2 linked regions of the Stegostoma tigrinum genome follow. The protein of the gene in region 1 interacts with the protein of each later gene in a biochemical or structural test. Links are inferred from orthologs where the notes say so. Each region holds a gene or a part of one and is shown in the gene's direction. Other genes may lie near its edges. The genes, in order: nbr1a and gabarapl2.

Evidence for each region.
Region 2: the proteins of nbr1a (region 1) and gabarapl2 form a complex in vitro, tested with the Homo sapiens proteins (2 studies listed by IntAct). The link is inferred for Stegostoma tigrinum from reciprocal best matches to the Homo sapiens genes NBR1 and GABARAPL2.

What each region holds. Positions count from the first base shown.
Region 1 is NC_081384.1:16,098,073-16,115,255, forward strand, and holds the start of nbr1a (NBR1 autophagy cargo receptor a), read left to right. Parts: upstream 1-6,852; 5' UTR 6,853-6,989; coding exon 6,990-7,091; intron 7,092-17,183. UniProt on the Homo sapiens protein: Ubiquitin-binding autophagy adapter that participates in different processes including host defense or intracellular homeostasis.
Region 2 is NC_081369.1:41,525,850-41,542,189, forward strand, and holds the start of gabarapl2 (gamma-aminobutyric acid receptor-associated protein-like 2), read left to right. Parts: upstream 1-8,408; 5' UTR 8,409-8,538; coding exon 8,539-8,572; intron 8,573-16,340. UniProt on the Homo sapiens protein: Ubiquitin-like modifier involved in intra-Golgi traffic. Modulates intra-Golgi transport through coupling between NSF activity and SNAREs activation. It first stimulates the ATPase activity of NSF which in turn stimulates the association with GOSR1.

The sequences.
Region 1 (17,183 bases):
CTGATTCAGAAATGCCCTTTGTAGGGAAGGAAACTAGCTATTCTAATTTGGGTTGTTTCCTAACTTGATTCCAGAGCTGCAGCGGTTGAAAGGTTAAGTAAGCCATTTGATTCAAGAGCAATTAGGGATGGGCAAAGAAATGCTGGCACTGTCAGCAATGTTCCCCTTGAAAGGTTTTTCACTGCACGTATCTCCAAGGTATCAACACACAGGTTAATGTGGATAGAGATGGCCAGCAGCTACACAGTAACAAAACTTAGAGGTGCAATTTGTCAGTGATGCTCGCATCCCATGGAAGAATGTGGAAGGAGATGTGGCGGGAGGTTCACAATAAAGTTAATTTTGGTTCAAAGCTTGGATTCTCACATGAAGGAATGATGTACTGCTTTAACTTTTTGAAAATTTATGTATTGATATGGGTGCTGCCGGCTGGGGTCTGTATTACTGTCCACCTCTGGTTGCCATTGGTGACAATGAGCCGTTTTCTCAAAGCATTGCAGTCCACATCAGGAACAGTGATACATTTCCAAGTCAGATGATGGGGCTTCCAAGTGTCTGCTGCTCTGCTCCTTCCAGTTGGTCGTGGTCATAACTTTGGAAGATGCTGAGCAGCCTTGGTGAATTTCTACAGTGCATCTTGTGGATCCCATACACTACTGCTACTGAGCATCATTGATAGACAGAATAAATGTTTGTGGATATGATGCTACAACTGCACCCATCCAAACAAGTGGGAAGCATTTACCACACTTCTGGCATATATCTTGCAGATGCTGCACAAGCTTGGAGTTTTTAGGTGGGGGGTTACTTCATCAACATACACAACGAGGAAGGGACATGGTTTTAAAGTTTCATTCTGGGTTTGTTCTGAAAGTGGCAGTGGGATGACTCAAGATTTGTTTTGTTATCAAGCATTTCGATGTGGTATTAAAATGCGAGGTGAATAGCTCAGTGCATTAGAAAAAAAAAAGAGAAAAATTGCCATTGCTAGCTACAGGAGTCTAGTAACAAAAACAGCCACCCAGAAGAAGCTAGGTTCTGAGAAGTTACATTATCTGGACTGGCATGACAAATGGGAGAGGAGGGTTGTATAAATACCTGATAGCCTGCATCATCCAGTTTCTACCCTGTTTGTCAGATAAGACATCTTATCTATACCACCTGAACAAAATAAAAGCACCTTCTTTAACTGTGTATTTTCCACTACCACTTTTGTGTAAGGAATGTTTTAGGTTATGTAGGAGGGTATAAAAACAGAAGTTGCTGAAAAAGCTCAGCAGGTCTGGCAGCGTCTGTGAAGAAAAATCAGTTAATTTTTCGGGTTCGGTGATGCTTCCTCAGAATAGGTCACCAGATCTGAAACATTAACTGATTTTACTTCACAGATGCTGCCAGGCCTGTTGAATTTTTGCAGTAACTTCTGCTTTTGTTGCTGGTTGACAGCATCTGCCTTTCTGTTTTTATCTAAGAGGATATCTTTCTTATGTCAACTTCTCAGTGAAAGTGACCAAGTTTCAATTGCTAGTTGACTGATGAAATTTGAGTTGGCACAGATTAAATTAAATGCAATTGAATGAAAAACAAAAAAGGTGGTTAGGCTAATTGGCCTATAATTTTCATCTTTTGTCTTGATCCTTTCTTAAGCAAGGGGGTTACAACAGCAATTTCCCAGACTCCAGTGACTTTTGAAAGATCACAACCAACACCTCCACTATTTCCTCAGCCACCTCCCTCAGAACTCGAGGATGTAGCCCATCGGGGCCAGGAGATTTATCAATTTTTAGACCTTTTAGCTTTTCTAGCACTTTCTCTTTTGTAATGCCCCCCCGACTCTCCTTAATTGTTGGGATTCTTTGGCTCATTCTTACTTAGAGTGCAGTGCATAGGCCACAAGCTGAAGAACAATAATCAAGGCCAACGTAGCATTCTACTCCAGCCTCAGTCTTGCCCTGTGTCTCAAAGAGAGAGATGATGATTCTCCTCAAATTCAGTGCTGCATTTGCGAGGAATAGGTGTTATTATCTGAGTGGATGATTTTGCTGGGCAAGTCAAATTCTAGATTAAAGTCTGGCTTGACTTTTTGTTTTAGTGCAATGCTGTTTCAGTTAAAGCAAAAACAGGCAAATGCTGCAGATTTATGTTTTTAACAATAAAGCAGAACTGTATTAGGCAAAAGAAAGTATAAAATAGAAGAAACCATCCATTTACATATAACAAAGATTTTGAAACGCATGATAAAATGTGACCCCATAAAGCCTGATGACATTTCTTTACAATATTCAAACAGCTGAGACAATGGCTTTCTTTTTCCCACTGAGGATTTGACCTAGCTATGATATCAATTCCCTGTCCTGGGTCTCAGTTTCTTCACACAACTAAGCTTAGACTTCTTCAGCTTCACATAATTCCTTGAAGATTTTAACCAAACACTTCTGGTCTGGAAACCTGGAAAATTACTCTTTATACTGAAACCAATTACAATTGTTAAATAGTGTTAACTCCTTTTTATAGGAGCAACTGATTTACACATCTAGCTTCATGCTAGACTTGTGCAAACCTGACAAACTGAAACCCGAAAACTTTAAGCTACAGATAGCATCCCTATCAAAAAAGAGGGGAGAAAAACCAAACAAATAAACAGACATTTGAACTGCTTAACATACACTGTTTACTTTGCTCCCAGTGATAAACTTCAATTAGATCACAAGAACTCTCTCTTGGCTACAGAAACACTTAAAAGCTCATCATTAAACTACAGATTTCAAAACCCCATATGCCAAACTAACATAAAAGGTACTGAAATACACAAATTACACAGTTTACATTACCACACACAAATCTCTTAAAAAGCAGGTGACTGGCAAAGAAGGCAACCGTCAATGAATTGCCCTCCTGATGGAATTGGCCAGGGCAGAATCTGGTTATAACAAGTATTTATTTTTGTCACAGAGATAAATTCAAGACCTCATGGCAGCACACTTGCCTTAGGAACAAAATTGAGCACATGCTATTACTCTTGAGGGACCATGAGGTGTTCACATCACTCGTGACATGCCAGGATCTGCAACTGCTGGACTAATCATTGGCTAATACAATTTGCTATCTCCATCAGCCTCACCCAAGAACTGCAGCAGTAACATAAGCCAATCAGATGATATTCCATGAATGGCGCAGTGGCTCAGTGCCAGGGACCCGGGTTTGATTCCAGCCTCAGGTGACTGTGCAGAGTCTGCACATTCTCCCTGTGTCTGCGTGGGTTTCCTCTGGGTGCTCCAGTGTCCTCCCACAGTCCAAAGAAGTGCAGGCTAGGCGGATTGGGCATGCTAAATCGCCCAGAGTGTCCAGGGATGTTTAGATTAGATGGGTTCGACAAGGGAAATGTAGGGGTAGGGGAATGTGTCTGGATGGGATGTTCTTCAGAGGGGCGGTGTGGGCTCATTGGACCGAATGGCCTGTTTCCATACTGTAGGGATTCTACAATCAATGAACAGGAACCACAAAAATGCCCACAGCTCTTGGTCTGCCCTTAAATCTGTCTTAAACAGCTCATGAATAAACTCTAGCTTTCCCCAGCACAAGACCAGTTTGATGAGAATGATCAGATCCAAGGAAGGTGTTCTTGAACTGGAATTATCTCTGAAACCCTGAAGGAAAGAAAGCAGGGGGTGGAAATAGTCAGAGATGTACAGCACAGAAACAAACCCTTTGGTCCAACTCATCCATGCCACCCAGATATCCTATGTAAATCTAGAAATTGCTAGAAAAGCTCAGCAGGTCTGGCAGCATCTGTGAAGGAAAAATCAGAGTTAACATTTCAGGTCCAGTGACCCTTTCTCAGAATTGAATTATTTAGCATAGTCACAACTATTTGTGACCCAAGCACATATGCTGAGAGCAAAGAACAGAGTGGTGCTCATAAGAAGCAGTGCACCATGAAACACCACAACTTGCAAGTTCCCACCACACACCATTCTGACTTGAGATTTCTTCGCTGTTACTAGGTGAAAATCCTGGAACATCCTTCCTGACAGGACTGTGGGTGTTCCTATACTTTCAAATGGCTAAGTTTGAAGCAAGCAGCTCACATCACCTTAAGGCAATAAAGAACTAGTGCTGCCCCAATCATGTGAATGTATGAAAAAAATCTTAGATTTCATCATTAGCTTTTTAAAATTAAAACTGGCTTTAACATTTTACGGTCAGTCATTATCACCGTTTCCATTTTTGTTTCAGGTCCTGATGCTGCCAATTTCAGCTCTCACGCATCCACTGTTTTTGACTTCTGATCTTGCTACCCTACCACCATCACTTTTTGTCTTGTATAATCATCCCTGTTAGTTCGTTTAGACACGATCATACATTCCCCTTCTTTCTCCCTCCCAGCTCATTATAAGCTGAAGTATCATCCTGAGCATTTTGGTTTTGCCTCATAGGGTGTCAATGGCAGACTTTCTCAGGGGCAGAGCAAGGAGATGGATCTCAAGATTACTCCAGTCTGAATCGGAATGAAACCTGAACAACTATTATTCCCTGTGTTTATTTAAAATTTTGTTATAGTATTGTAACCTCTTGATCCGAACAAAAAGTTCTTAACTTGAAACTTTAACTGTTTCTCCCTTTTCAAATGCTGTCTGACCTGCTGAGTCTTTCCAGGATTGTTGGAAATCTGAAATTAACATCGACAATGTTTTGTTTTTGCTCTTACTTCCACAGATTTGCAATCAGCTTTACACAATTCAACTTTTATTTCTCAAGGTCTCAGTCCTGTGGTAAAATGCAGGAACACACAAACTTGTTAACAGTACAACTATATATTAATCCATTGTGCCAAGTGTATATGATTTAAGCATTTCATTGACTATGGATTGAAGTTTTTTTTTCCATTCTAACACTGCCACCTTCTCACAAATAGCACCCATAGTTATAAAAAAAACTTAATTCCACTTGCTTTGACTTCAAAACCAGGGAATAAGAAACATACTCATTCTCAGTGTCTGTCCTTCCTATTACTAATTAATAGTGACAAAACACAAATTCAGCTATCATATTACTACTACTTTTTTGGCTCGTCATATTTCAAGTCCAATCACAAAGACAGCAGCACAAATAAATTAAGCTTTGGAATAACAAAGTGTGGAGCTGGATGAACACAGCAGACCAAGCAGCAGCTTAGGAGCACAAAAGCTGACGTTTCGGGCCGAGACCCTTCATCAGAAAACCTCTGATGAAGGGTCTAGGCCCAAAACGTCAACTTTTGTGCTCCTAAGCTGCAACTTGGTCTGTGTTCATCCAGCTCCACACTTTGCTACACTTGCCCCCACACCTCCTCCCTCACCCCTATCCCAGGCCCCAAGATGACATTCCACATTAAGCAGAGGTTCACCTGCACATCTGCCAATGTGGTATACTGCATCCACTGTACCCGGTGCGGCTTCCTCTACATTGGGGAAACCAAGCGGAGGCTTGGAGACCGCTTTGCAGAACACCTCCGCTCAGTTCGCAACAAACAACTGCACCTCCCAGTCGCAAACCATTTCCACTCCCCCTCCCATTCTCTAGATGACATGTCCATCATGGGCCTCCTGCACTGCCACAATGATGCCACCCGAAGGTTGCAGGAACAGCAACTCATATTCTGCCTGGGAACCCTGCAGCCATATGGTATCAATGTGGACTTCACCAGTTTCACAATCTCCCCTTCCCCTACTGCATCCCTAAAAACCAGCCCAGTTCGTCCCCTCCCCCCACTGCACCACACAACCAGCCCAGCTCTTCCCCCTCCCCCCGCAACCAATGCATCCCAAAACCAGTCCAACCTGTCTCTGCCTCCCTAAGCGGTTCTTCCTCGCACCCATCCCTTCCTCCCACCCCAAGCCGCACCCCCATCTACCTACTAACCTCATCCCTACTCCTTGACCTGTCCGTCTTCCCTGGACTGACCTATCCCCTCCCTACCTCCCCACCTATACTCTCTCCACCTATCTTCTTTACTCTCCATCTTCGGTCCGCCTCCCCCTCTCTCCCTATTTATTCCAGTTTCCTCTCCCCATCCCCCTCTCTGATGAAGGGTCTAGGCCCGAAACGTCAGCTTTTGATGCTGCTTGGCCTGCTGTGTTCATCCAGCCTCACAGTTTAATATCTTGGAATTCTCCAGCATCTGCAGTTCCCATTATCTCTGATATGGTGACTATCTTATGTTGAGAATCTGCCGAGCTCAGGCACCTCCTGTGCTTTCTGCATTATAACAGGAGTCACATTGTAAACCGATCACTCTAAAACGTTTCGGAAGGAACAGCAGATGTCAAAGGCGCTGTGGAATCGCAAGGTACGTTCTATTCATTCCCCGCTCCCCATTCATCCAGAATCCAGTCTTCCCAAAAAAACACACATACCGCTAGGGTCCGTTGCTACAAACACAGAAAATCACACGCATTTTAATCAGAGAAAGATAAAATACCGGACGAAATGAAAAGTTGAAGCAGCATGCGACAGTGATCTCAAGCACTACCCTCAGCTCGAAGCATCGCCATATTTTGGGTCTCCCGCGCTCACACATGTCACAGGACATGACACGCACCGGAATGACGGTGCACGCATAGGCGCACCGTTTGTATTAAAAAAATGACGTAAGACGACGCTGCAAGCTTTTAACTTATACCCGCCAGATTCTAGCTGCCAACTTATTGTTTTAGACGATCCTTCATCTGACGGTCCAACATCCAACATTTTATCCGGTCTCTGATTTGTTTTGACGAATAGTGTGTAATCCCCCGGCCAAAGGCGTTATGCATGACGTCACATCCTGTCAGATGACTGGTTAGCTGCCAATGGGCGACCGTGTTTACCCTGGGCCGCAGTGGATGCTGGGTAACTGCAGGGCTCTGATGTAAACAGAAGCCTCTGGTGCCGAGGGGGGGGGAAAGTAATTACTGTCACTGTCACTATCATTGTCATCGGGCGGACGCCAGCTTCTCACCCACCGTGGAGGTATGGAGGAGCAAATCAAACTGAACGTGACCTTTGGTGGCGATACACAAACTTTCCTGGTGTGTGACTCGCAGAAGACGACGTGGGCGGATCTGGAAGCTATGGTTAGTGATGTGTAGGGAGGGGGTGAACCCCGCCCTGAATCAACTCTACACCCGCTCCCACATCTACTTTTCAATTCCCCCTGTCTGCATCTCCTCTCTTCTCCTGTCAGCGCCGCCCCCCCACCCCACCGCAACTTGTCGTCTCTCCCCAGCCCTCGCATCTACTGTTCTCTGTCCCCGACCCAACATCTATTCTTCTCTCTCCCCTACCCCCGCTCTCCCCCGATATTGTCACTTCCCTCCCCCCGCTCTTGCATCTTCATTTCTCCCCACCCCCCCCACTCCCGCAACTTCTATCTCCCCCCCCCCCCCCAACCCCCTGGCATCTTCACTCCCCCGGCATCTTCGATCTTCACCCAAACCTTCGTCTACACTCCTCCGCTTAACCCCCCCCCCCACCCCGTCTACACTGTTTCACCCCCATCTGCGTAGTCTACACTCCTTCCCCACTCCACCCCACCCCACCCCATATACACTCTTTGCCCCCTCCCGTAGCAGACATAGGATGATGTGCTCAAACTATTATGTTACGTAAGAACTAGTAGCAGAGTAGACCTTTCGGCCCCTCGAGCCTGCCCCCCCATTCAATAAGATCAAGATCAGCTCCACTTACCTGCCAGCACACCATAACTCGTAATTTCCTTACTGTTCAAAAATTTATCTAGCCTTGCCTAAAACACATTCAGCGAGGTAGCTTCAACTGCTTCATTGGGCAGGGAATTTCACAGATTCACAACCCTTTGGGTGAAGAAGTTCTCCTGACCTCAGTCCTACATCTGCTTCCCTTTATTTTGAGGTGATGCCTTCTATTGCTAGTGGAAACAATCTCCCTGCCTCCACCTTATCTATTCCCTTCATAATCTTATGTGTTTCTATAGGATCACCCCTCATTCTTCTGAATTCGCATGAGTATAATTTCAGTCTACTCAGTCTCCCCTCATAAGCCAGCCTCTCAACTCTGGAATCAACCAAGTGAATCTCCTCTGCACCCCCCTCCAGTGCTAGTATATATCTTCTCAAGTAAGGAGACTAAAACTGCACATGGTACTCTAGGTGTGGCCTCATCAGGACCCTATACGGCTGCAGCATAGCCTCCCTGTTTTTAAACTCCACCCAAAATTCCACTTGCCTTTTGCACCTGCAATCCTACTTCTAGCGACTCATGCACAAGGACACCCAGGTCCCTCTGCACGACAGCATGCTGCAATTTTTTACCATTTACAACATTGTCCATTTTGCTATTATTGCTACCAAAATGGATGACCTCACACTTATCAACATTGCACTCCATCTGCCAGACCTTTGCCCACTCACTTAGACTATCTATATCCCTCTGTAGACTTTCAGTGTCTTCTGCACAGTTTGTTGTACCACTCATCTTAGTGTCATCTGCAAATATTGACACCCCACACTTAATCCTCAACTCCAAATCATCGATGTAACTTGTAAACAATTGTGGTCCCAATGCTGATCCCTGAGACACACCACTAGCCACTGACTGTCAACCAGAAAAACACCCATTTACCCCTACTCTTTGAGTTCTATTAGTCAACCAATCCTCTATCCATGCCATGTTGTTTTTTAGTATTTTGAATAAAATGTTCAGCAATGACTCCTTGCAATAGTGATTCTGTCCTTGCAGCTAGGTTTCCTGGTTTAAATAAACAGTTTGGTTAGCTGTAGTATTATATATGAAGAATGTGATAACAAATATAAATATTTACTTTATAGTGTGTTGCTGCCACCTTGGGTTCACATGAACTCTGTTTAGCTAGTTCAATTGGGCAAACCGTGATGTGACGTTACTATTGATCTAAGCAGAACAATTTCAGATTCAGAACTTATTTATAATGTGATGTACCCTGACTCATGATATTTATCTCAGTATGTCCTGATGTTTATGCTGCTTAACAGATATGCAGTTTAATTTTTTTTCTGGGTGGTGTTAAATTGAACCTGTAAACAGGATATCAGATCATGCTTGTAGCTTTAGAAGGTTCTGATTTGTAGACATCAGGTTGAAACTGTTTGACTGAGTCACGTAACATGTGATGATATCCCAAATACCTTGGCAGTGTACTTTTTCTGTCATGACTTCCTGTGTTAATGGATTCTGAAATTTTATACAAGACTGTCTTCTTTGTGTTAATCTTTTTTTATATGTAAGCATTCCCTCACCAAATCCAGTAAAATAATACTGGAAGGGTGACCCAAGTATAGCTAATAAGTGAAAGTACGTTACAGTGAAAGTATTGTTGCAATTGTATAGCGTCTTGGTGAGATCGCACCCAGACTATTGTGTGCAGTTTCAGTCTCCTTTTTCAAGGAAGGACGTTTTGGCTCCGTAGGGAGTGCAGTGATGGTTTAACCAAGCTGACTGCTGGGATGGCAGGACTGACATATGAAGAGAGACTGGATTGGTCAGACTATAGAAGAATGAAGGGGTATCTCCTAGAAACCTATAAAATTCTAACATGACTCAATAGGGTCTGCCCAGGAAGGATGTTCCTGAAGGCCAAGTATCACAGTCTTGGGATATGAAGTAGGCCATTTAGGAATGAGATGTGGGGAGGTTTCTACACTTAAAGACAGGTGAATCTCTGGAATTCTTTCCTACAGAAGGTGGTTCAGGTCAAAACATTGAATAATCATTTATGATTACATTGAATGGCAGAGCAGCCTCAAGGGCCAAGAGACCTCCTCGTATTTTCTACATCTCAAGGAAATGATTAGCTAAGACAAATTTGGTCCACTGCAGAGAGAGTCATGAATGGGAAATAGAAAAATGGCAGAGAAGTCAGATACCACGTAATAATTTATCTTCACCTAAGGAAAGCAATAAATCTCCCTGACTTAGAAATTCAAGGGAAAAGAAGAATGAAGAATTGAAGAAGATTTGTATTAGTGAGTAGACTGGAGAAATGAATTGCTTTGAAGGTTAAGTTCCTGGGTCCCAAAGTTCCACATTTCAGAATGTTGAAAGAGATAATTATTGCAAATATGGGTGCTCTGCTGGTCACGTTCCAAATTCTATAGGTTCTGGAATGGTTCCTTCAAATTGAAACACGGTCAATGTTACCCTGCTATCTGCGTTTTAGAAGGAAGGGAAAGAGAAAACTGGGAAATACAGACTTGTTAACCTTTAAATTTGTTATGAAGTATGTGATAAATGGACACTTGGATAATAATTTGTTTGGACATAAATAACGTAGATTTGTGAGGATATATTTGAAGAATGTTACAAGCAGAATCGTTGAAGGGCAGTCCGTGAATGTAGCATATTTGAATTTTCAGAATGTTTTTGATAAATTCTCTCACACAAGGCTGGTTAGCGAAATGGAAATACATGGTCATGTGCTGGTGTGGATCCAGAGTTGGACAACAGGCAAAAGACTGAAAGTAAGAATAAACAAGTTATTTCTGCATTGACAGGCAGTGCCTGGTACTGTATACAGCAAAAATCAGTGTTTGTTGCTGTAGTGGTTCACAATATGAAACACTGATTTGGATATGGGGGTAAATGAAGTATTTCCAAGTTTGCAGATGAACAAAAAGCTAGGTGGGAATGTGTGTTGTGAGGAAAATGCAAACTTATTTCAAGGCAGTTTGAGGCAGACTTGATGAGTGAGCAAGTACATGGCAGATTGAATATACGGTAAAAATCTGAGGCAATCCAGTTTAGTAGGACAAGCGGATGTGCAGTGTACTTCGTAAATGAAACCTGTTTATAAAGTATGGATGTGCAAAGTAACCCATTTGTCCTTCAATTTGATCAATGAGTCAAACTGATTCTCAAAGCTCAAAAAAAATTTAAAACTTGGAATAGATTCCTCAACTCTCTTATGCTGTGTATGGAGTTAACTCGGCATGTTTAGATTTGAGCTCCTTTTTTTCTAGTTTTTTTTCCTTCCTGCCGTAGTTGCTGTTCAGCCAGTGCTAAAGTTGCAGCTTTCATTTGGTCAAAATTTTTATTTTATTTCCCAACATTGTGCATGATTAAGCATTCTTAAGATAGTAATCTGAATGCTGTATGATATAAGATTACTTGGATCTGTAGAATTTTGTTCGCTGGGCTAGAATATTTGTAAAACTATTAACTGGTGCTGCTTCTGGAGTGAAATAGCCAATTGCTACGAGGAGCAAACAAAAGACAATAAGATGTGAGAAGAGGTAGGCCATTTAGCCCATCAGGTCTATTCCAGTATTCAACGAGACAGGAACAGCAGGAGGCCATTCTGCCCTTCAAACCTGTTCCACCATTCAGTGGAAGAGAGTTCCAAAAATCTGCCACCGTCTACTCAGCCTCTGGCTGAGAAATTCCCCCTCATCTCAGTCCTAAATTGTTGCCCTATGAATCTGAGGCCATCTTTGTCTCTCCAACTAATGAAAACATTGTTTCAATATCCAATCTATCCAGGCCTCTCAGTATTGTGTAAGTTTAAATGCAATCCTCCTTCAAGCTTCTAAACTCCAGAGTTGTTTTTATTCATTTATGAGATATGGGTGTTGCTGGAAGACCAGCATTTATTGGCCATCCCTATTTATCCTTGAGAAGTGGTGTAGCTGCCTTCTAAAACCACTGCAGTCCACCTGTGTAGGTTAACCCACAATTCCATTAGGAAGGGAATTCAAGGTTTTTTGACTCTGCAGCAGTGAAGGAACAGCAATATATTTCCAAATCAGAATGGTGAGTGGCTTGGAGGGGTACTTGTAGGTTGTATTGTTCCCATGTATTTGCTACCCTTGCCATTCCAGATACAAGTGGTTGTGGGTTTGGAAGGTGCTATCTAAGGATCTTTGGTGAATTTCTATTCTGCATCTTGTAGATAATACATAGTGCTGTCCAGAGCATCAATGGTGGAAGGAATGGATATTTGTGGATGTGGTGATAATCAAGTGGACTGCTATGTCCTGGATGATGTCAAACTTCTTGAGTATTGCTGAAGCTGTACCCACTCAGGCAAGTGGGGAGTATTCTGTTACACTCCTGACTTGTGTCTTGTAGATGATGGGCAGAGCACTGGGGAGTCAGGAGTTACCCGTTGCAGTATTCCCAGCCTCTGACCTTCTGTTGTAGCCTCTGTGTTTGTGTGGTGAGCTCTGCTGAGTTTCTGGTCAAAGTAACACCCAGGAAGTTAATGTGGGGGATCCAGTGATGGTAGCACAACTGAGAATCAAGGCACTTTGGTTAGATTGTCTCTTGTTGGAGATGGCCAATTCCTGGCAGTTGTGTGGTGTTACTTGCCACTTGTCTGCCCAAGCCTAGATATTGTCCAGATGTTGTTGTATTTGAACACGGACTACTTTAGTATCTAAGAAGTCGTGAATGTGCAGTCATTGGCGAATATTTCCATTTCTGATCTTTTATGATGGAGGGAAGCAGCTGAAGGTGTTTGGGTCTAGGACAGTACCCTGAGGAGCTCCTGCAGAGATGCCTGGAGATGAGATGACTGACCTTCCACAACCACAACCATTGTCCTGTGTGCCAGGTATGACTTCAGCCAGCAGAGAGATTGTCCTCTGATACCTGTTGATTCCAGTTTTGCTAGAGTTACTTGAGGCTGTACTTGGTCAAATGTGGCCTTGATATCAAGGGCTATCACCCTCACCTCTGGAATTCAGGTTCTTGTCCATGTTTGAACCACAGCTGTAATGAGGTCAGGAGATGAGTGGCCCTGGCAGAACCCAGATGGGCAGTGAGCAGATTATTGCAGAGCAGGTGCTGCTTGATTTCAGTGTTGAGGACACTGTCCTTCACTCTACTGATGAAGAATAGATTGATGGGGCAGTAGTTGACTAGGTTGGATTTGCCCTGTTTTGTGTACAGGACATACTGGACAAGTTTCAACATTGTCAGGTAGAAGCCAGTGTTTTAACAACTGAAAGAACTTCGTTAGGGAGTTGCACGTTCTAGAACACAGGTCTTCAGTACTATTGCTGTAATGTGATCAGGGCCCCCAGCCTTTTCTTGATAACAAAGAGTGAATTGAAATGGCAGAAGACTGGCATCTGTAATGTTTGGGATGACTGGATGAGGCCAAGGTGGATCATCCACTTGGCACTTGTGGCTGAAGATTGCTGTGAGTGCTTCAGCCTTATCTTTTGCACTGTTGTATGGAGCTCTTCCATCACTGACAAGAGGGAACCATCTTCGCTAGTGGATTGTTTACTTGCCCACCATCGTTCACAACTGAATATAGCAGGACTGTAGAACTTGGAAGCGATCTTTTTGTTGTGGGCTCGCTTAGCTCTGTCTGTCCTTGCTACTTGTGCTGTTTGGCATGCAGGTAATCCTGTATGGTAGCTTTACCAGGTTGATGTCTCATTTCTCAGTCTGCCTGGTGCTGTTCCTGGCATGCCCTCCTGCACTATCCATTGAACCAGGGTTAATCCTCTGATGTTTTGGTATTGGTTGAATAGTGATATGACATACCAAGAGGTTGCAGATTGTGCTGGAGTGCAATTTTGCTGCTGTTGAAGGCTCACAGTGCTTCACGGATGCCCAGCCTCAAGTTACTAGATCTGTTCGGTTTGTCCCATTTAGCATATTGATAGTACCACACGATACGATGAAGGATAATGTGAAGGCAGAGCCTCATCTTCAGGAGGATTGTGTGGTAGTCACTCTTACCAGTACTGTTTAAGACAGATGTACCTGCAGCCAGTGGTTTCCTCCCTGTGCTGGAGTACTGATTCATTGGCCAAGGGAGGATGGTATGTGGTAATCAGCGGGAGGTTTCCTTGTCTGTGTTTAACCTGAAGTCGTGAGACTTCTTGGAGTCCAGACTCTGTGTTGAGGACTCGCAGGCCAACTCCATGCAGACTGTATACCAACCAAGCTTCCACCTCTGCTGGGTCTGTTCTGCTGTTAGGACAGCATTTATCCAGAGATGGTGGGACACTGTCTGTAATACGAATGTGACTATGTCAGGCTATTGCTCAACTTTGGTACTAGCATTCCCCCCCCCCCCCCCAGCAGTTCAGTTGCATAATTCTTTGAAGTTTGTTTCACACATGGATAGGTATTTGGTACGCTTGTCTTCATTGCTGAGACTTTTCAGAATCGGGGTTGGGACATTTTGTTGAGGTTGTACAAGGCGTTGGTGAGGCCTCTTCTGGAGTACTGTGACCAGTTCTGGTCTTATTGTCAAAGGAAGGATATTATTAAGCTGGAGAGGGTTCAGAAGACATTTACCAGGACCTTGCTGGGAATGGAGCATTTGAGTTTTAAGGAGCGGCTGGATAGGCTGGGACATTTTTTCACTGGATTGTGGGAGATTAAAGCGGGGGGTGTGCACATAGAGGTTTATAAAATCAGGAGGGGTATAGATAATGTGAATGGCGGGTATCTTTTCTCGAGGGTAGGAAATTTCAAGACTTGGGTGCATATTTTTAAGGTGTGAGAAGAAATATTTCTTTAAAAACAAGTGATTTGTTTTTAGAGATAATGGGAACTGCAGATGCTGGAGATTCCAAGATAATAAAATGTGAGGCTGGATGAACACAGCAGGCCAAGCAGCATCTCGGGAGCACAAAAGCTGATGTTTCGGGCCTAGACCCTTCATCAGAGAGGGGGATGGGGGGAAGGAACTGGAATAAATAGGGAGAGAGGGGGAGGCGGACCGAAGATGGAGAGTAAAGAAGATAGGTGGAGAGGGTGTAGGTGGGGAGGTAGGAAGGGGATAGGTCAGTCCAGGGAAGACGGACAGGTCAAGGAGGTGGGATGAGGTTAGTAGGTAGCTGGGGGTGTGGCTTGGGGTGGGAGGAAGGGATGGGTGAGAGGAAGAACCGGTTAGGGAGGCAGAGACAGGTTGGACTGGTTTTGGGATGCAGTGGGTGGGGGGGAAGAGCTGGGCTGGTTGTGTGGTGCAGTGGGGGGAGGGGACGAACTGGGCTGGTTGAGGGATGCAGTAGGGGAAGGGGACATTTTGAAACTGGTGAAGTCCACATTGATACCATATGGCTGCAGGGTTCCCAGGCGGAATATGAGTTGCTGTTCCTGCAACCTTCTGGTGGCATCATTGTGGCAGTGCAGGAGGCCCATGATGGACATGTCATCAAGAGAATGGGAGGGGGAGTGGAAATGGTTTGCGACTGGGAGGTGCAGTTGTTTTTTGCGAACTGAGCGGAGGTGTTCTGCAAAGCGGTCCCCAAGCCTCCGTCCAGGGAAGACGGACAGGTCAAGGTTTGTTTTTATGATTTGTTTTTATGCATGTTTGGAATGAACTTTGCCGAGGAAGTTGTGGATTGGGTATTTTTACTATGTTTAAAAGACATTTGGATAAGTATATGAATAAGAGATGTTTGTAGGAATATGGGCCAGGTTAGGCAGGTCTAACTAGTTTAGTTTGGGATTGTGATTGGCATGGACTGGTTAGATCGAGCAATCTGTTTCTGTGCTGGATGAGTCTACAAGGGGTCTGAGGGTTTTGCACGGTCCTTTCTGCGATGTAAGTCAATGCCAGGTGGTCCATCATGTTTTGCATTTTTTTTTTGACACTTTGTAGTGATTGATGCACTAACTGCCTTGCTTGGCCATTTCAGAGGGCAGTTGAGAGTCGACCACATTCCTGTGGATATGGAGTCACATGTAGACCAGGCCAGGTGAGGGTGGAAGATATCTTTCCCCGAAGGACATTAGTGGTCCTCAATTGCTCCTCTTGTGACAAGCCCTTCATTCCCAGGATTATTCTTGTAAATCTCTTTTGGATCATCTCCAATGTGAGAACATCCTGCCTTAGAACATAGAACAGTATAGTTCAGGAACAGGTCCTTTAGCCTGTGATGTTTTGCCAAACACGATGCCTAAATAAACTAATCTCTTCTGCCTGCCCATTGGTCCATATCCTTCCATTCCTTGCATATTCATGTGCTTATCTAAAAGCCTCTTAAAAGCGCCTATCATATCTGCCACCTCCATCTCTAGCTAGAGTACCCTCTTATTTCATCTCCTCCCTTTTATTGCTTTTTTGTTATCCTCTATCGGTTTTTAAGGTTTTGCAATCCTCTAAGTTCCCTCTAATCTTCCCCACATTATATGCTTTTTCTTTTGCTTTTTGACATTTTCTAATCAACCTGTTCAGAGGTATTAATACACACCTCAGCAGCAGAAGGGACTTGAACCTGAGCCTCCTGGTCCACAGGTAAGGACACAACCACTGTGTCACCTGAGCGGCTGCTCCCTGACTTCCGTTGTCAACCATGGCTGCCTTGTCCTCCCCTTAGTATTCTTGCACTTCCATGGGATAGATTTCTGCTATGCCTCTTGAATTACTCCCTGGAATCCCTGCCATTGATATTCCACCATCTTCCCTGATAGGTTTCCCTTCCAGTCATCTCTGGCCAGCTCCTCCCCATGCATTTGAAGTTTAAACTGCAGGGTGAATTCCATCATTTTATGATCATCCCATCGTAAATGGTCACTGATCCCTAGCAGTTGTTTCACTTTCAGCTCCCCAACCATGACTGCATCATTACATCACCATATCCAGAATTGCCTGTAACTTTGTGGTGTCTGCCATACGCTGCTCCAAAAAAATACCTTGTGTACATTCCATGAATTCCCTTTCTTGGGATCAACTTCCAACTTGAACTTTCCAGTCCACCGACATGTTGAAATACCCAATGAATTTTGTAATAGTGCCTTTTTTGCATCCCTTTAGTATCTCCTGGTTTATTTTCTTCCACGCATCCTGACTCCTGCTTGGAGGCCTGTAGCTGACTGCCATCAGGGTCGTGTGGTTCCTCAATACTACCTGCACAGATTCCATGTCTTTTGCTTCAACATCACTTCTGTGCATCTGCCTGTCCTTTCAATAGGATGAGTATCCTTCGATGTTGAGTTCCCAGCCCTGATCCCCTTGCAACCAGGCCTCTGTAATTCTGACAATATCATACCCACCAATTTCAATTCAATGCCTTCATTCTTGCATTGATTCTTCCCTTCAGAGATAGTAGGAACTGCAGATGCTGGTGAAACTGAGATTAACTGCAGAGACCTGCTGTGTTCATCCAGCTCCATATCTTGATTCTTCCCTTATCTGCTGTGTTGTTTTCCTCCTTATTTTACTGTGAATACTGAGGCAGAGAAAT
Region 2 (16,340 bases), on another chromosome or scaffold:
TGCTAATCCCCACTTGTTCCATGTACAGTTCCTCCTTTTTCAGATAATAAGATTAGATCACATGAAATACAGGGAGAACTAGCCATTTGGATACAGGAACAAAAACAAAGTTGCTGGAAAATCTCAACAGGTCTGGCAGCATCTGTGGAGGAGAAACCAGAGTTAACGTTTCAGGGTCCGGTGACTGTTCTTCAGAACCATTTGGATACAAAGATAATTGGAAGTTGACAAAGTGTGGAGCTGGATGAACACAGCAGGCCAAGCAGCATCTTAGGAGACAGAACTGGTTCAAAGGTATACTACAGAGGGTGGTGGCAAAGTGCTGCTTTTCAGAGTTGGAGTCCCAGTGATGTGCCACAAGGATTAGTGCTGGGTCCATTGCTTTTCATCATTTATATAAATGATTTGGGTGTGAAGATAGTTGGTAGGGTTAGTAAGTTTGCAGATGACACCAAAATTGGAGGTGTAGAGGAAAGTGAATAAGGTTACCTCAGATTACAGCAGGATCTTGATCAGATGGGCCAATGGCCTGAGGAGTGGCAGATGGAATTTAATTTAGATAAAGGTAAGGTGCTGCATTTTGGAAAGGCAAATCAGGGCAGGACTTATATGCTTAATGTAGCCAGTGTTTTCCCCGGGATAGTTGAATCTAAAACTGGAGGGCTTAAGTTTAAGGTGAGAGGGAAAGGATTTAAAAGGGACAACTTTTTTCTCACAGAGGGTGGTGCATATATGGAAATGAGCTGCCAGAGGTAATGGTGGAGGCTGGTACAATTACAACATTTAGAGGGATATAGGCCAAATGCAGGCAAATGGGACCAGATTAATTTAGGATATCTGATCAGCATGGATGAGTTGGACCAAAGGGTCAGTTTCCAAACTGCAGCTCTATGACTCTGTACTTTTTCATTATAACAATCTAAATTGTGCTTGAATGCATCAACTGAACCAGCTCTTTACCATTGTGGCAGCTCACACAACTTTACCTCCAGTTACATGTAAAAGATTGTCTTCAAGTCACCACAAGTTGTCATTTCATCAATCACCAACAATCACAATTGTTCACTTACGGAATTCCATGTCGCTGTTTATTGGTCCTGTGAATTCTTGCATAGCTAATAAATCCAATCCTAGAACTTCCTGTTCTACCACACATTTGGTAGATGTTTTTAGGTGATGGAATTGGTCCTTGGCTTTGAGGTCACTGGCACTTCTTTCTTTAGTTAGTTTCCAGACTTCCTCCCGCTGATGGGTGTTCTCAAAGAATTGTGCCCATTCAAATAGGACCTTCCTCCAAGTCAGTTGCTTCTAAACAAAGGTCCTTCCATACATTGACATATATGATGTATTTCTTGGGGTAAGTCTTCAGGGAGCCTTTGAAATGCTTCCTTTGTCCTCTTCTTGCTCAAGTGCCTTCCTCAAACTGGGCAAAGATGATTTGCTCTGGCAGTCAAAGCTCAGGCATCTTAAGCGAGTGGCAGTCCAAAACAGATGGTTTTTGGATCATCGTGGTCTTGATGCTGGTGTTCTTGCTTCATGGATGCTGATGTTAGTTCACTTGTCCTCCCAGCTGATCAGAGAATCTATCTCAAACAGCATTGATAGTACTTCTCAAGGACCTTGAGTTGGTGTTTATACATTGTTGAAGTTTTGGAGCCAAGTAGAACAGTCAGAAGGATGACTGCATTATACAGAAGGGTTTTAGTATCAGCGCAGATGTCACGGTCATCCATGTCATTGATGTCAGCCATAGATGACAGCTATCTTCCCAGGTGGGGGAAATCTTCCACATTTGGGAGGATTTCTCTGTTGTTCTTAATGGATGGATGGACAAGAACTTGACTTGCGACAGGTGATAAAAGATTTGAGTTATCTTTAGGGTGAGGCTGAAACCAATTCTTCAGTAAGCTTCCGTGAAGGCATTAAGCAAGGATTGAAGATTGTCTTCTGAGAGACTGGAGATGACATTGTCAACCAGTTGAGTTGAAAGTTTTTCATCCACTTATAAACAATTTCCACACCACTGGGAACTTTACTTTTGACAAGATAAAGAATATCACCAGGGATATCAAAGGGACTGTCTTTAGCTAATTACTTGAAATATGTTCTCTCTGGTTCTCAAACTTCTTTTATAGTGCAATTTGATGGCGCATGGGGTTTAGGCTCAAGACAGGTTGGTCAAAGAGAAGGAAAAATCAAGAACTTGTCTTCAGGCTTAGATCTCAAAGCAACACAATTTATTATACTTTTAAATTACATATTGCTATATGTGGTAATCATTGATATACCAGGCTCTGATCTTAGGTAATGTCTAATCGTTTTTCCATCATAAACTCACGAAGATTGATAGCACAGGAAGAGGCCCTCTAAGTCTGCACCAGTCAAAAACAATCACCTATCCATCTTCTCTCCTACCTATCCCCCCGACTCATCTCACTGACCAATCCCCACCACTGCCTACCTACGCTCACCTACCACCATCCAACCTACCTCCCTCGTCTCACCCCTCCTCTCTGTTTATTTCCCAGCTCCCTTCCCCATCCTTATTTCTGAAGTAAGGTCCCAAACCAAAAACATTAACTTTCTTGCTCCTCTGATGCTGCCTGGCCTGCTGTATCCCTCCAGCTCATACTGTGTTGTCTGTGACTCCAGCATCTGCTGTTCTTGCTAACTCTCACCTAAATAATCTAATCCCATTGCCTTATATGCTTTGGTATCACAAGTGTACATCTAAACACTTCTTAAATGTTATGAGGGTTTCTGCTTCTATCACCCTCTAGATGAAAAAATGTTACCTCACATTCCCTGTAAACGGTTTGTCCCTTGCCTTAAATTGATGCCTCCAGTAAGGGAAACATGTTTTCCTTAATCTGTATTTTCCCAAATGACTATTATTTTTGCCTTTGATTATTATTCCTAAAAGCTTTACCACCACTGAGATTAAACTTACTGATCTGTAGTTATTGGGTTTATCTTTACAGCCTTTTTTGAACAAGTGTAGCATTTGGATGTGGGAATTAAATGTAATTTTGCTAATTCCAAAATGACACAAAAATGAGTTAGATGTGTGAGTTGTTAGAAGGTTGTAAAGATGCTTCAAGGGAATTCAGAGAGGCTGGGTTAGAAGGTAAAAGATTGGGAGATGAAATACAATGTAAAGGAGTATAACATCATCCAGATTCATGATTTAAACAGAAATACAGACTATTTCTGAAACAGTGAGAGGCTTAGATGTGTTGAACTTCAGCATCCTTGCTCACGAGACACTATAAATTGATGTGCAAATACAGGAAGCAACTAAGAAGAGGATTAATGATATCTTACTGCAATTATAAAGAGCCTTGGTGAGAACACACCTAGAGTATTGTACACAGTTTTGATCTCCTGATCAATAGTGAAATACACTTTTCACAGACAGTAACTTGCAGGTAATGATGTTCTCATGCATCAGTTGCCCTTATCCTTCTAGGTAGCGGAGGCCACAGGTTTGAAAGATTCTGCTGAAGGAGCTTGAAGAATTATTTCAGTGCATTTTGTAGTTGGTACACATTGCTGCATTGTATGAGAGTGGTTAAGGGAGTGAATGTTGAAGATAGTGGCGGTTGTGCCAGTCAGGCTTTTTGAGAGTTGTTGGAGTTGCACCCTCCAGGCAAGTGAAGACTATTCCATCACACTGCTGACTTGTGCTATGTAGATGATGGATAGGAATGGGAAGATTGAAAATGAATTACTTGCTCCAGAATCCTAATCTCTGACCTACGCATGTAGCCACAGCATGAATGTATCTGGTCCAGTTCGGTTTCTGGTGAACAGTAACCCCGTGGGTGTTGACAATGGGGGATTCAATAATGATAATGCCATAAGTTCAAGGGGTGATTGTAGGTATCATTCTTGTTGAAAACTGTCATCTCCTGATATTTGTGTGGCATGACTATTACTTGTGTTATAACTTTTGCTGATATTTTCATTATTTTGCTTTTGGTTTGGATTTGTGAACTGTAGGAGAGGTCAGTGACCTTTGGACTGCGATCAGCAGCTTATTTTAAAAATAAAGAGAACAAACAAACTACTATTTGTTTCTGAGCCAGTGCTGAAGGTTAATTGCAGGTTGTTTCTTGTTAAAAGGTGCTCTATAAATGTTTTGACTCTGGAGAGGCCTTATACTCAGGTAAATGGCAGATACTGAGTTTTTACTGGGACTTCATACTCAAACAACCTGTCTAACAAAGAAAGGCCAGAGTTTGAACTTTATTTTGAACTGTGTTTAAGTCAGAAGAAGGTTACAGATAGAGAGATTTTATTATTATGAAGTATAGTTGCAATTAAAATGAAGGAAACAGCAGCCAGTAGTGCACGGCAAATATTCTAAAATCAGCAGTGTCGTGATGACCAGGTTTTTTTTTGGTGACATTGAGGGCTGACTATCAGTCAGATCACATGTTGAACTCCTTTTCTTTACATATTGCCATGGGATCTTTTATGCTGAACTGAGAGGTCAGATGGGGTATAAGTTTTTACGTTGTGTGGAAAAATGGCTTGCCAACTTACAGTTAACTTGATGGAATGTGAATTTGCAGCCTTCAGACTCTGACAATAATGCAACCAACAGAGTCAAAGCTGATATCTTATGATGAAGTCAACAGCATTTTTCCCCTTGAGAGCTAGTGGAAATGAGGGATATCCTTCCACCTAACTGCAATTTTCAAGTTTGAGATCCGTAGCTTTTATTCAATATTGAAATTCAATGGAAAGACAATTTGTTGTAAATGCACACACCAGCCGTTTGCTCCCTTTGTTGTTTTGACAAATTTGGATGACTGAACAAAATTAATTGTAACATCTGAAGGATGATCTTTAATTTTTAGCAATAATGATCAGTACTCCAAATTATAATTATCATGACAACCTAAATTCAGATTAACCAGAATATTTCAAAACTCTTGCTGTCCCATTGCTGACAGTTTGATGCATGCTTCTACTTGACATCTGAGTTCAGAATCTCAAAATTTTTGTTGCAAAGTTTGTCTGATTAGCTGAATATGCAGAAATTAAAAGTGACAATAATGAAGAAAATTTTCCATCTAAGTTGAATGAAAATAAATGCATGTTTCAGATAGGATTTTTGAAATGTAAGTCACAAAAGACCTTTGTGGATAGAGGATGGAGAGAATTTATTAAAGGTTTGAGTAGTCATTTGGTAGAACAGAACATGAGTATTACTGAAAAATTACACCTTGAAGCTTTTTATTTTGCAGTCAGGACTTTTGCAAGAATACCAGTGTAAAGGGAGACAATATTTTATATTGTTTAAAAAGACAGAATATGAATTAGTTAGCAAGTGGACTTTACAGATATTGCCAAGAAGAAAACACCATTTAGAAAATGGTAAATTTTTTAAAAAATTTAAATAAAGTAGGTTGACTCTGGCCAAGGCATTGCACTGAGGAATGAACCACAGAATAGTTGTTGCCTATTTTGTTGCATTGAAACAAATACAATGTATGTATATGTTCTTTCTGAATGCAAAAACAGGATCCCTGAGTATTAATATATTTTGCTTTCCGTGTGCACAAGTGTGCTACACTGCAAGGTTGACTTGTGATCATTAATTGGTTGACAGTGTAATTCTTAGCACTATGAGGATTATTTAGCAAATGCTGTGCAATGGCAAAATCACATTTAATGTTGGACATTGTTGCGAGTTTTACTAGTGTGTGCTGATTAGGTGCAGTTGTACTTGGCCTGTTGTGAACACCCAAAGGGACCTGTTTGAATTCTATGTACTACCAACATACCTAGCATCATACTGACATTGAAATTCATGCACTTTGTTATTCATTTTGATAGGCAGAACTTTTTTTTGACTTGATGGCAGCATCTGGTAAGTGGTAAATGTCATTACCGCACAGGAGCAGTGTGAAATATCAAACTTAATTTGATGCTCAATTTTTTGAGATTTCCAGAGTAATCTCAGGGAAGTTTTCAGACCAAAAACTATGGCCTTACGTATGTTCATGATTTTACATAATATACAGAAAGAAATGATCAGATTGGTGGCAATTAGCTTGCAAGATGATTTTGATGTATCTTCTTTCAGTAGGATATTTGCATGGTAAGAAAATGACTGGAGGCCCTAATTACCTTGTTGCCTGTTATACCAATCTTACAGCATGTAGCAGTTGTCTTTTCCCTCGGATAGGGATTTCAAGACAAGGGGGCACGTTTTTAATGTGAGAGGAGAGAGATTTAAAAAAGACATGAGGGTAAATTTTTAACAGAGATAGTGATTTGCGCGTGGAATGAACTTCCTGAGTTTGTGGGTACAATTACGATATTTAAAAGACATTTGGATAAGTACACGAATAGGAAAGGTTTGGAGACATATAGGCCAGGAGCAGGCAGGTGGGACTAGTTTAGTTTGGGATCATTTTCAACATGGAGTGATTGGACTGAAGGGTCTGTTTCTATGCTGTGTGATTCTATTCTATGTTCCCCAGTTGTCCTCTCATTATCAACCTATAAGAACAGAATCTTAGTTATAAGAATTAAATCAATATTCCTCAGAGCCTGCTCAAAGATATGTGTATACATTGGTATCATGAGGCATTAAGCAAGATATAATCCTATGTGCCAAGGATGGTACGAATTGTGCAGCCCACTTAAGTGATTTGGCCAATTACATCTCAACTGATTATTTTTCTTTTGATTTGTCCCTTAACCATGTCTGTCAGTCTTTGTGTGAAAATGAGAGCTAGATTTAAGGAGGATTGAGTTTAAATCAGTCATTAATTAGATTACCTTTTGGTTTAACTTTGTTCTGTTAAAATAACTGTATTGTTAATTAATTGTTAAATCTTTTGTTTCTGCTACAAACCTTGGGTCTGTCATTAGTTATCTAAATATGGTAGTGGTTATTCAAAAAGACTGATTCGGAAACACTGGGATCAATTTTGAGTGTCATTGATTATTTTAATTTTTCTGTGTTGCAAATACAAGGATAAAGAGGCTGATTTGATTTGGTTGTCTGTCTCCATGTCATGATACTTGCCACTTATCAGGCCAAGCCTCCAGGTTGTCAAGGTCTTGCGGCATGTAGACCTTGGCTGCTTCACAATCTGATGAGTTGTGAATGGTGTTGAACATCTTGCTGCTGATCGCACACATCCTCAATTTTGACCTTATAACGGAAGGAAGGTCATCAATGAAGTAGCTGAAGGTGGCTGAGTCAAGAAAACTACTCAGTGAACTGCTGCCTTGATGAACTTCTGAACAGTGTATAAATTCGGCCTGCTTCTCAGTTGTATTCTCCATTTTTAATTTCGATCTCTTTCCCCTTACCTCTGATTTTCCTTCTGTTTTGTTGTCACTGAGCCTCACACTCCACATCCATGATTTTTTTTGCCTTTGTCACTTTAAGATGACCATATTTGAGATTGCAGTTTTGAAGTTTGATTCCTTAATTCCCTTACAATTAAAGTTAAATGTCTTTGCACAAGCTGTCAGCAAAAAAAATTGACCCATCACCCATGTGGTCATTTACTTATATTGACTCTCAGTTATAAAATACCTAGATATAAAACTCTCATAATTATTTTCCAATTCTTCCACAACCTGCCTTTACTTTATTGCCACAATCCCTTCCAATCGTACAATTCTTTGAGATATCTGTACACTTCTAATTCCAATCCCCAGTTTCAATCACTTTGCTAATAAAGATCTTGCCTTCAGTTGCCTGGAGCCTAAACACAGAATTCCCTATAGCCTCTCCACCTCTCATCCTTATATTCCTCCTTTAAGTTATATCTTAAAAGCCATCACTTTGAACACGTTTTTGGGCATCTGTCATGATATTTCCTCACATGACAATTTATTTATAATGCCTCTGCGAAATATCTTGGGATGTTTTGGCTTTACAAAATTACAAGTTCATTGTTAATCTTACCCTGTTTGGCTAATACACAACTCCAAGTGATTGAGATTTAATTGTCTTGAGTATTGGCCTAGGAGGGCACTCATACGAAGAAGATGGACTACTGGGATTCAAGAATTTCACCACTCACTCAGAGCAAAAGGTACCTTGACAGTTGTGTTGCTTACATTCAATCGTTCAATCTGGAACCCATATTAGAAAAGAATAAAAAACATAGAAAACGTATCAAAAATGTTTCCTTTTTAAAATGATAAATGATGTAATTTAATGGTTGAATTGACCTTTCAGAACAAACCATAGCATTATAAGGGATACATCAAAGTTTTGAATTTATTCGTATGGAACAAAAATGGATCATTTCGAATTGCTATTCAATGCTACAAACCGGAAACAAATACTGTAATCAACACGCTGTGTTCTGGCTGTCAGAAATCTTTTGGTCTTCTCGCTTGAATCATTGTCTGTCTATCCTTCCCCGCCTTTCACTAGCGAGTAGTTGCGACCGACAGGACATTCCCTGAGCTTCATATCGCGCAGTGCTAGAGAGTCACGTTGTAGCAGCGTTTTGTTTCTTTTCAGTCAATAGATACTTTCATATAGCGGGCAACATGAAATGGATGTTTAAAGAAGACCATTCATTAGGTGAGTTTGGTTTGGAGACGCATTTACAGGAACCCAGTTTTTGTCGGGCTGTCTTAATCATCTTCAGGGCCTAGTCCTGACCTGCGCAGTTTTCCTCGTTGGCCTGCTGTTTGTTTTGTTTTAGGGTGTGTAAATTGTTGCGTCTATTTGAGGTTTTCAGAATTAGATAATGATTAACTCAACACTCGAATATTACATCCAGCGTGTCAACATCATCAATGCTCCAGTAAAACCTATTTTGCATGTGGTTTTTAGATTTAGATATCACAATACTGTTTCCATACTAGGGAATCTAATCTAATCTAATCTAATTATTTATTTATCCATAGGAAACTGAACCGGCTTGCTTAACCCTCACCTTTTTTAATGTTAACAGTCTTTACGTTAAACCTTTCATCAACTTTGAACTTCATATAATAATTTTCATCACGTAACGTTGTAGAAGTGAAGTACCATTTAAGAAGAGTAATTGTTTGCCTTGCAGAGTTGTCATTTGGAAATAGCAGTTTGGTACACAAAATGCACCCTAATACATAATGAATTAATCTGGTTTTAGCAGTTTTGTTTAATTGGGTTTTGGTAGATGTTGAGATATTGCATGCAGAACAATTTTTATTACTCTCTCGAGCAGGAACCTCTATATTCACCTTGGCTCTTTGTTTAAACTCAGTTTCAATTTAAGGTCCTTTGGACCCTGAGTTGAATTTGCATTTCAAAGCCTACCCTTTGTCAAAATTACAACAGCAACCTTTATTTATAGGCATTTTTAACAAATTTGAATATTTCCAGGCATTTCATAGAATCATAATGAAACAAAATATTGTATTGAGGTACATAGATGATGTTACGCCAGACACAAAGCTTGGCCAATGTAATCTGTAGGAGTATTTTATGGGAGGAAAACAAGGTAGACAGGCAGAAGGCTGCAGAAAGTGTATTTAAGAACTTTGGGCCTATGCTGAAGGTATGGCTACGAGTGGTCGAGCAATTAAGAACTTGGATTTGTAAGAAGCTAGAATGAAATGAGCACAGATATGGAGTGATAGAGGTGTACAGCATGGAAACACTCTTCAGTCCAACTTGACTATGCTGACCAGATATTCTCGATAAATCTAGTTCCATTTGGCCCATATCCTTCTAAACCCTTCCTAATCATATATCCATCCAGATGCCTTTTTTAAATGTTGTAATTGTACCAGCTTCCTCCACTTCCTGTGGTAGCTCATTCTATACAGACACCACCGTCTATATGAAAAACCTGTGTCTTAGGTCCCTTTTAAATTCTTTCCTCTCACCTTAAACCTATGCCCTCTAATGTTGGACTTCACCACCTCAGGGAAAAGACCTGTCTATTTACCCTATACATGCCCCTCAAGATTTTATAAACCTCTATAAGGTGACCCCTCAGCCTCTGACACTCAGGAAAATAGCCCCACCCTATTCAGCAACTCCCTATACCTCAAACCCTCCAACTCTGGCAATGTACTTGTAAATCTTTTCCGAACCCTGGATTATTGAGGGTAAAATATGTGAAATTTGCTAGATTGCATTTAAATAGTCCACTCTGAATTGTTAATATTGCTAATACTATATTCAATGTTCTGTCCAAGTAAATCACGACAGTAATTAACTTCTGTAACACTTAACATCTTAATCCCTTTCCCCATCTTCACTGCCATTGAAGTTCCCATTCAAGTGCTCCAGACTCCCCTTCTCTAACAGTTCCTTTGTTAAATACCAAATCTATTCCACTACCTGAACCATACACACATTGTGTTCCAATGAGAAGCCATATCATTAACATTAAATTTGTTTTGCCTTCTACAGATGGTGCCAGATATACTGAATGTTTAAAGCATTTTCTGTTCTTATTTCAGATTTCCAACTTCCATATTAAATACTCCACTCATTCCTTAGCTGCCTTTCACTGGCTCCCCGTTCCCAACAAATTGAATTAAAGCTTCTGATGCTCATTTACAAGTTTCTCAGTCATCAGTGTAACACCATTGGTTACAAAGCAAGGATGAGGGATAACGGAAATGATAGACTGCTTAATGTGACATTAATGTCAGGGAAAAAAAACTGCAGTGTACTATTATTTATGATCAGACCAAATCGAATGTTGTTTTATGAAAGAGAATGTTTTAGTTTTTGGAATGTAACTGCTAGGGTAAATAGAAGGGATTCAGTAGATGTAGTATACTTGGATTTCTAAAAGGAATTCAACCAGGTACTGCATAGATGTTTAATACTCCAGCTGCACTCATGGAGTTGGTAGCAACATAGATGCAAGATTGTTTCCCATCTGTTAACCAAAGTGATATCCGGGGCTTTTTCACGTTAGCAGGGTGCAAATAGTGGAGTAGTACAAGGGTCAGTGCTGAGGTTTTGACTATTTTCAATCCATATTAGCGACTTAGAAAAAGACGCTTTGTATCTGTGAGAATGTAAACTGAAAAGAGGAACCAAAGAGGTATGGACAATTTAAGTGAGTAAGCAATAAACTAAGTGTGAACAAAGGAAGAGGTTATTCATACTAATAGCAACAACAAACACAGAACATTTTAAAAGTGTAAAACTTTTAAATATTGATGTTAAGAGAAAAATGGTATAGTGCACAAAATTAATCTATAGGTAAAGCAAGCAATTAGGAACAAGAGTGGACCATTCAATCCTTCAAGCCTGCCTCACCGTTCAACACTAACATGGTTAATACATTACTTTAATGGTTTTTACTCAACCCATCCCTGTATCCCGGTATGCTACTGGTAATTAAAACCTATCAATCTCCATCTTCAGAATATTCATTCTCCTCATCTTAGACCTAAGTAGTATCTACCTTATTTTTAAAATGTGGCCTCTGGGTCTAGACTCCCCAACCAGGGAAAACATCTTACCTGCATCTACCCCTTCAAGTATTTTGCAATGTTCAATGAGATCACCTCTCCTTCTTTGACACTCTAGAGAATACAAGCTCAGTTCACTTACTCCCTCTTCAAAGGACAGTGCTATCATCCCAACTATCAAGTCTGGTGAGTCTTCATTGCAGTCCCTTTGTGGCTGTAACATCATTCCTCAGAGGCAAAGACAGAACACTCTCTAAGGGGCTCTAACCAAGGTCCTGTGCAATTGAAGCAAGACTTCACTGTTCCTAGCCTCTCATCCTCTTGCAATAAAGGCTGAAATTCCATTAGCCCTCGTAATACCTTGCTTCACCTGTATGTTAGCCTTCAGTAACTTGTGAACGTGGGACTTTCTGAACATTCACCATACTGAATCTTTTACAGAAATACTTGTTTTACATTTTCTCCACACCTCCTATTCCTGCCTTGTCATATCCACAAATTTGGAAATATTACATTTTGGTCCCTACCTACAACCGTTGATAACGTTGTGAACAGCTGTGACCTCAGGTACTGATCCTTATAGTACCCCACTAGGTCATAGCCTGCCAATTTGAGAATAACCCATTTATTCCTACTGTCTATTTTCTGTCAGCCAATCATTAATTCTTACTAGTATGTTTACTTCCTATCCCATGTACTTTAACTTTTCAAACCGGCCTCTTTATTAAAAGTCTTCTAAAAATCTAAATATACTATGCCCATCAGGTCTCTTTTATCAATTTTGTTTGTAATATATTCAGAAAAACTCCCAAGTTCATCAAATGCCATTCCTCATTTGCAAATTCAAGTTGACTGTGCTGAACCAAATCGTAATCAACCATATGTCTATCTTTCCCATCCTTTATAATTGCTTCTGGTGTTTTCCGTACTAATGAAGTAATTCTAACTGATCTGTTGTTCCTCATTTCTATCTCATTCCCTTCTTAAATAGTGGGAGGTGACATTTGTTGCCTTTATATCTGCAGGATTAATTGCAGAATCCGTAGAATTTTGGAAAAATCACCAATGCATTTCTCTGTAATCACTTCCACTCTGGGATGAAGACCATCAAGTCCGGCGGACTTATCACTTTAACCCAATTAATATCTCAAGTACGGCCTTCTTACTAACGTTGATTTCCTTCAATTCCTCATTCTCTTTAGGATTAGGAAAGCAATTTGTTATAGCAGGAGGATTAGAGCACAAAAATAAGGAAATCTTGCAACAATTGTCAAGGACTTTGGTGTAATCAGTGTGCAGTTTCTGCATCCATATTCAAGGAAGAATTATGCTTGCCTCAAAGGGGATACAGTAAAGTTTGAATACATTGGTTCCTGAATGAGGGTATTGTTTATGATGACAGGCTGAATAAATTGGACTTGTAATCTCTGGAGCTTCATGGTCTCAGAATAATGGCTGGATCATCCAGAACTAAGACAAGAAATTTCTTCACTTCTGAGATTGTGAAATTTTGGAATTATTTTCCCAGCACGTTTTGGATGCTCTGTTATTGAGTATATTCAAAACCTGAGAGATAAAGTCTATTAGTTTCTTAGAGATTTGGGGAGTGGCCAGGAACGTGAAGTTGAGATAGAACATTAGCTATGATCACATTGAACCTTGGAGCTGACTTTAGAAGCCACAGGATCTACTAGTGCTTTTGTTCTCACCTTTTTCCCTTTAGTGTAATCTCCTCTACTGGTTTAATCTGAATATACAGCACTGATTTACCTGCATGTCACTGTGGTGATAGAGTTTTCAATATCTTGATTCTTGGCTTTTCCACACCCTCACTAAATCTGTCTCCCTTCCTTTTCTCCCCACATTTAAAATCCTCTATAAAATCTATGACCATTCCTCTAATCAATCCGCAAAGTCTTCAACTATTGCTTGATGATCATTTTCTTTCTATCCATAAAACCATGGATTGTGTACTAAATTTTAAGGCACAATATAAACACAATTTGTCCTTTCTTCTTGTCACGTTTTATTGAACTTGGAATTATTGATGACTATTTTTTATACTAATGCTAACAGTTGTTTTTCAGCGTGATAATCAGTGGTCATACATTTTAATGTGATATTAAGATATTTAGAGACTATGCTGCGATTGATATGTCAGAAAGTGGAAATCTATGATATATGTTAAATACCTATCAAAAAATTTCAACAGTAATTTTCAGCCATAACCTTATTGTAGATCACAAAGTACCTCTCCATTTCACTGATTTGCCACAAAGTTTTAGGGGATCTACCAGAAAATGGCTGCTTGGATTATTTCGTCCTTTTTTGTTTTTGTTCTTTCATGAGATGTTGGTGTCACCTAATGAGGCTAATATTCATTCCCATCCCCAATTGCCCTTGCTTGCTCGACCATTTCAGTGGGTTAAGAATCAGCCATATTGCTGTGAGTCTGGAGTCACATATAAGCTAGACAAAGAAAGAATGGCAGGTTTCCTTCCCTGACAATCACTTCTGTTTTCACACTGATTACAGAGACCAATTGTTGTGGTGAACCTATTCTTCCGGACATTAACTGAGCCTCTGGATAATGAACCCAATGGTTTGACCGCTACATACTCTCTCTCTCCTATCATCCAATGAATTGAAGATGGCAAATACAGACTTACATCTAGGACTGGGAGTGCTGCATGTTGTCATTTTTCTTTATCCTTTGTACCATAACTATTCATCAGTGAGCAGATCTAAGCTGAAATTATCTGAATTTAGACTTCTCCCCTTCAAATGAAATCTGAAACTAAATCAGTGGCTCATTTCAGCAATAGAAGAGAATAAGTCAAATTATGGACATAAATCATCCATTGTTATCTCTTTTTATAATGGTGTTTTATAGAGTCATAGAGACATACAGCATGGAAACAGACCCTTCGGTCCAACTCATCTATGCTGACCAGATATCCCAAATAAATCTAGTTTCATTTGCCAGCATTTGACCCATATCCCTCTAAACCCTTCCTATTCATATACCCATCCAGGTGCCTTTTAAATGTTGTCATTGTAACAACCTCCCACCACTACTTCTGGCATCTCATTCTATACACGCACCACACTCTGCCTGAAAAAGTTGCCTCTTAGGACCCTTTTAGATCTTTCCTCTCTCATCCTAAACCTATGCCCTCTAACTTTGGAACCCATGTCATTCCTTATTTTAGGCATCCTGAAAAGTTTTTTTTTTCTCCTCACACTTGTATCTTTGCCTTTTCATTCTCAAACCTTTTAACATGCAGGAACAGTTTCTCCATATCAACTCTCTGCAGGCATCTCATAAATTTGAGAACTTCCATTAAACATTTTCTCACTTTCTCCACAAGAAACAGTCCCAACTTCTCTGTTCTATTTTGCTAGTTGAAGTGTCTCACTCTATGAAACATGTGTCATAAATTTCTTCTGCGCTCTTTCCAATGCGTTCACATTTTTCCACTATTCTGGTGCTCAGAACTGTATATGATAATCCACCTGTGGTTTAATCTGTGCTTATGTACGTTCATTTTCACTTGCCTCCTATATTCCATTCCTCTATTAACAAAGCTTAGAATTCTGTATCAGTGATAATGGGAACTGCAGACGCTGGAGAATCCAAGATAATAAAGAGTGAAGCTGGATGAACACAGCAGGCCAAGCAGCAGCTCAGGAGCACAAAATCTGATGTTTCGGGCCTAGACCCTTCATCTCTGAAGGGTCTAGGCCCGAAACGTCAGCTTTTGTGCTCCTGAGATGCTGCTTGGCCTGCTGTGTTCATCCAGCTTCACACTTTATTATCTCAGAATTCTGTATGTTTTATTTACAGTTCGCCCCACCAATCCTACCACATTTTAATAGCGTACACCCAAGTTATAGGACGTAGAACATTACAGCACAGTACAGGCCCTTCGGCCTTCGATGTTGTGCCGACCTGCCATACCAATCTGAAGCCCATCTAACCTACACTATTCCATGTACATCCATATGCTTGTCCAATGACGACTTAAATGTACTTAAAGTTGGTGAATCTACTACTGTTGCAGGCAAAGCGTTCCATTCCCTTACTACTCTCTGAGTAAAGAAACTACCTCTGACATCTGTCCTATATCTTTCACCCCTTAATTTAAAGCTATGCCCCCTCGTGCTCGCCATCACCATCCTAGGAAAAAGGCTCGCCCTATCCACCCTCTCTAACCCTCTGATTATCTTACGTCTCAATTAAGTCACCTCTCAACCTTCTTCTCTCTAACCAAAACAGCCTCAAGTCGCTCAGCCTTTCCTCGCAAGACCTTCCCTCCATATCAGGCAACATCCTAGTAAATCTCCTCTGCACCCTTTCCAATGCTTCCACATCCTTCTTATAATGCGGTGACCAGAACTGTACGCAATACTCCAAGTACGGTCGCACCAGAGTTTTGTACAGCTGCAGCATTAGCTCATGGTTCTGGAACTCGATCCCTCTATTAATTAAAGCTAAAGCACTGTATCCCTTCCTAACAACCCTGTCAACCTGAGTGGCAACTTTCAAGGATCTGTGTACATGGACACCGAGATCTCTCTGCTCATCTACACTACCAAGAATCTTACCATTAGCCCAGTACTTTGCATTCCAGTTACTCCTACCAAAGTGCATCACCTCACACTTGTCCGCATTAAGCTCCATTTGCCACCTCTCAGCCCAGCTCTGCAGCTTATCTATGTCTCTCTGTAACCTACAACATCCTTCTTCACTATCGACAACTCCACCGATCTTGGTGTCGCCTGCAAATTTACTAACCCATCTTTCTACGCCCTCATCCAGGTCGTTTATAAAAATGACAAACAGCAGTGGACCCAACACCGATCCCTGCAGTACACCACTAGTAACTGGTTTTCAGGATGAACATTTCCCATCAACCACC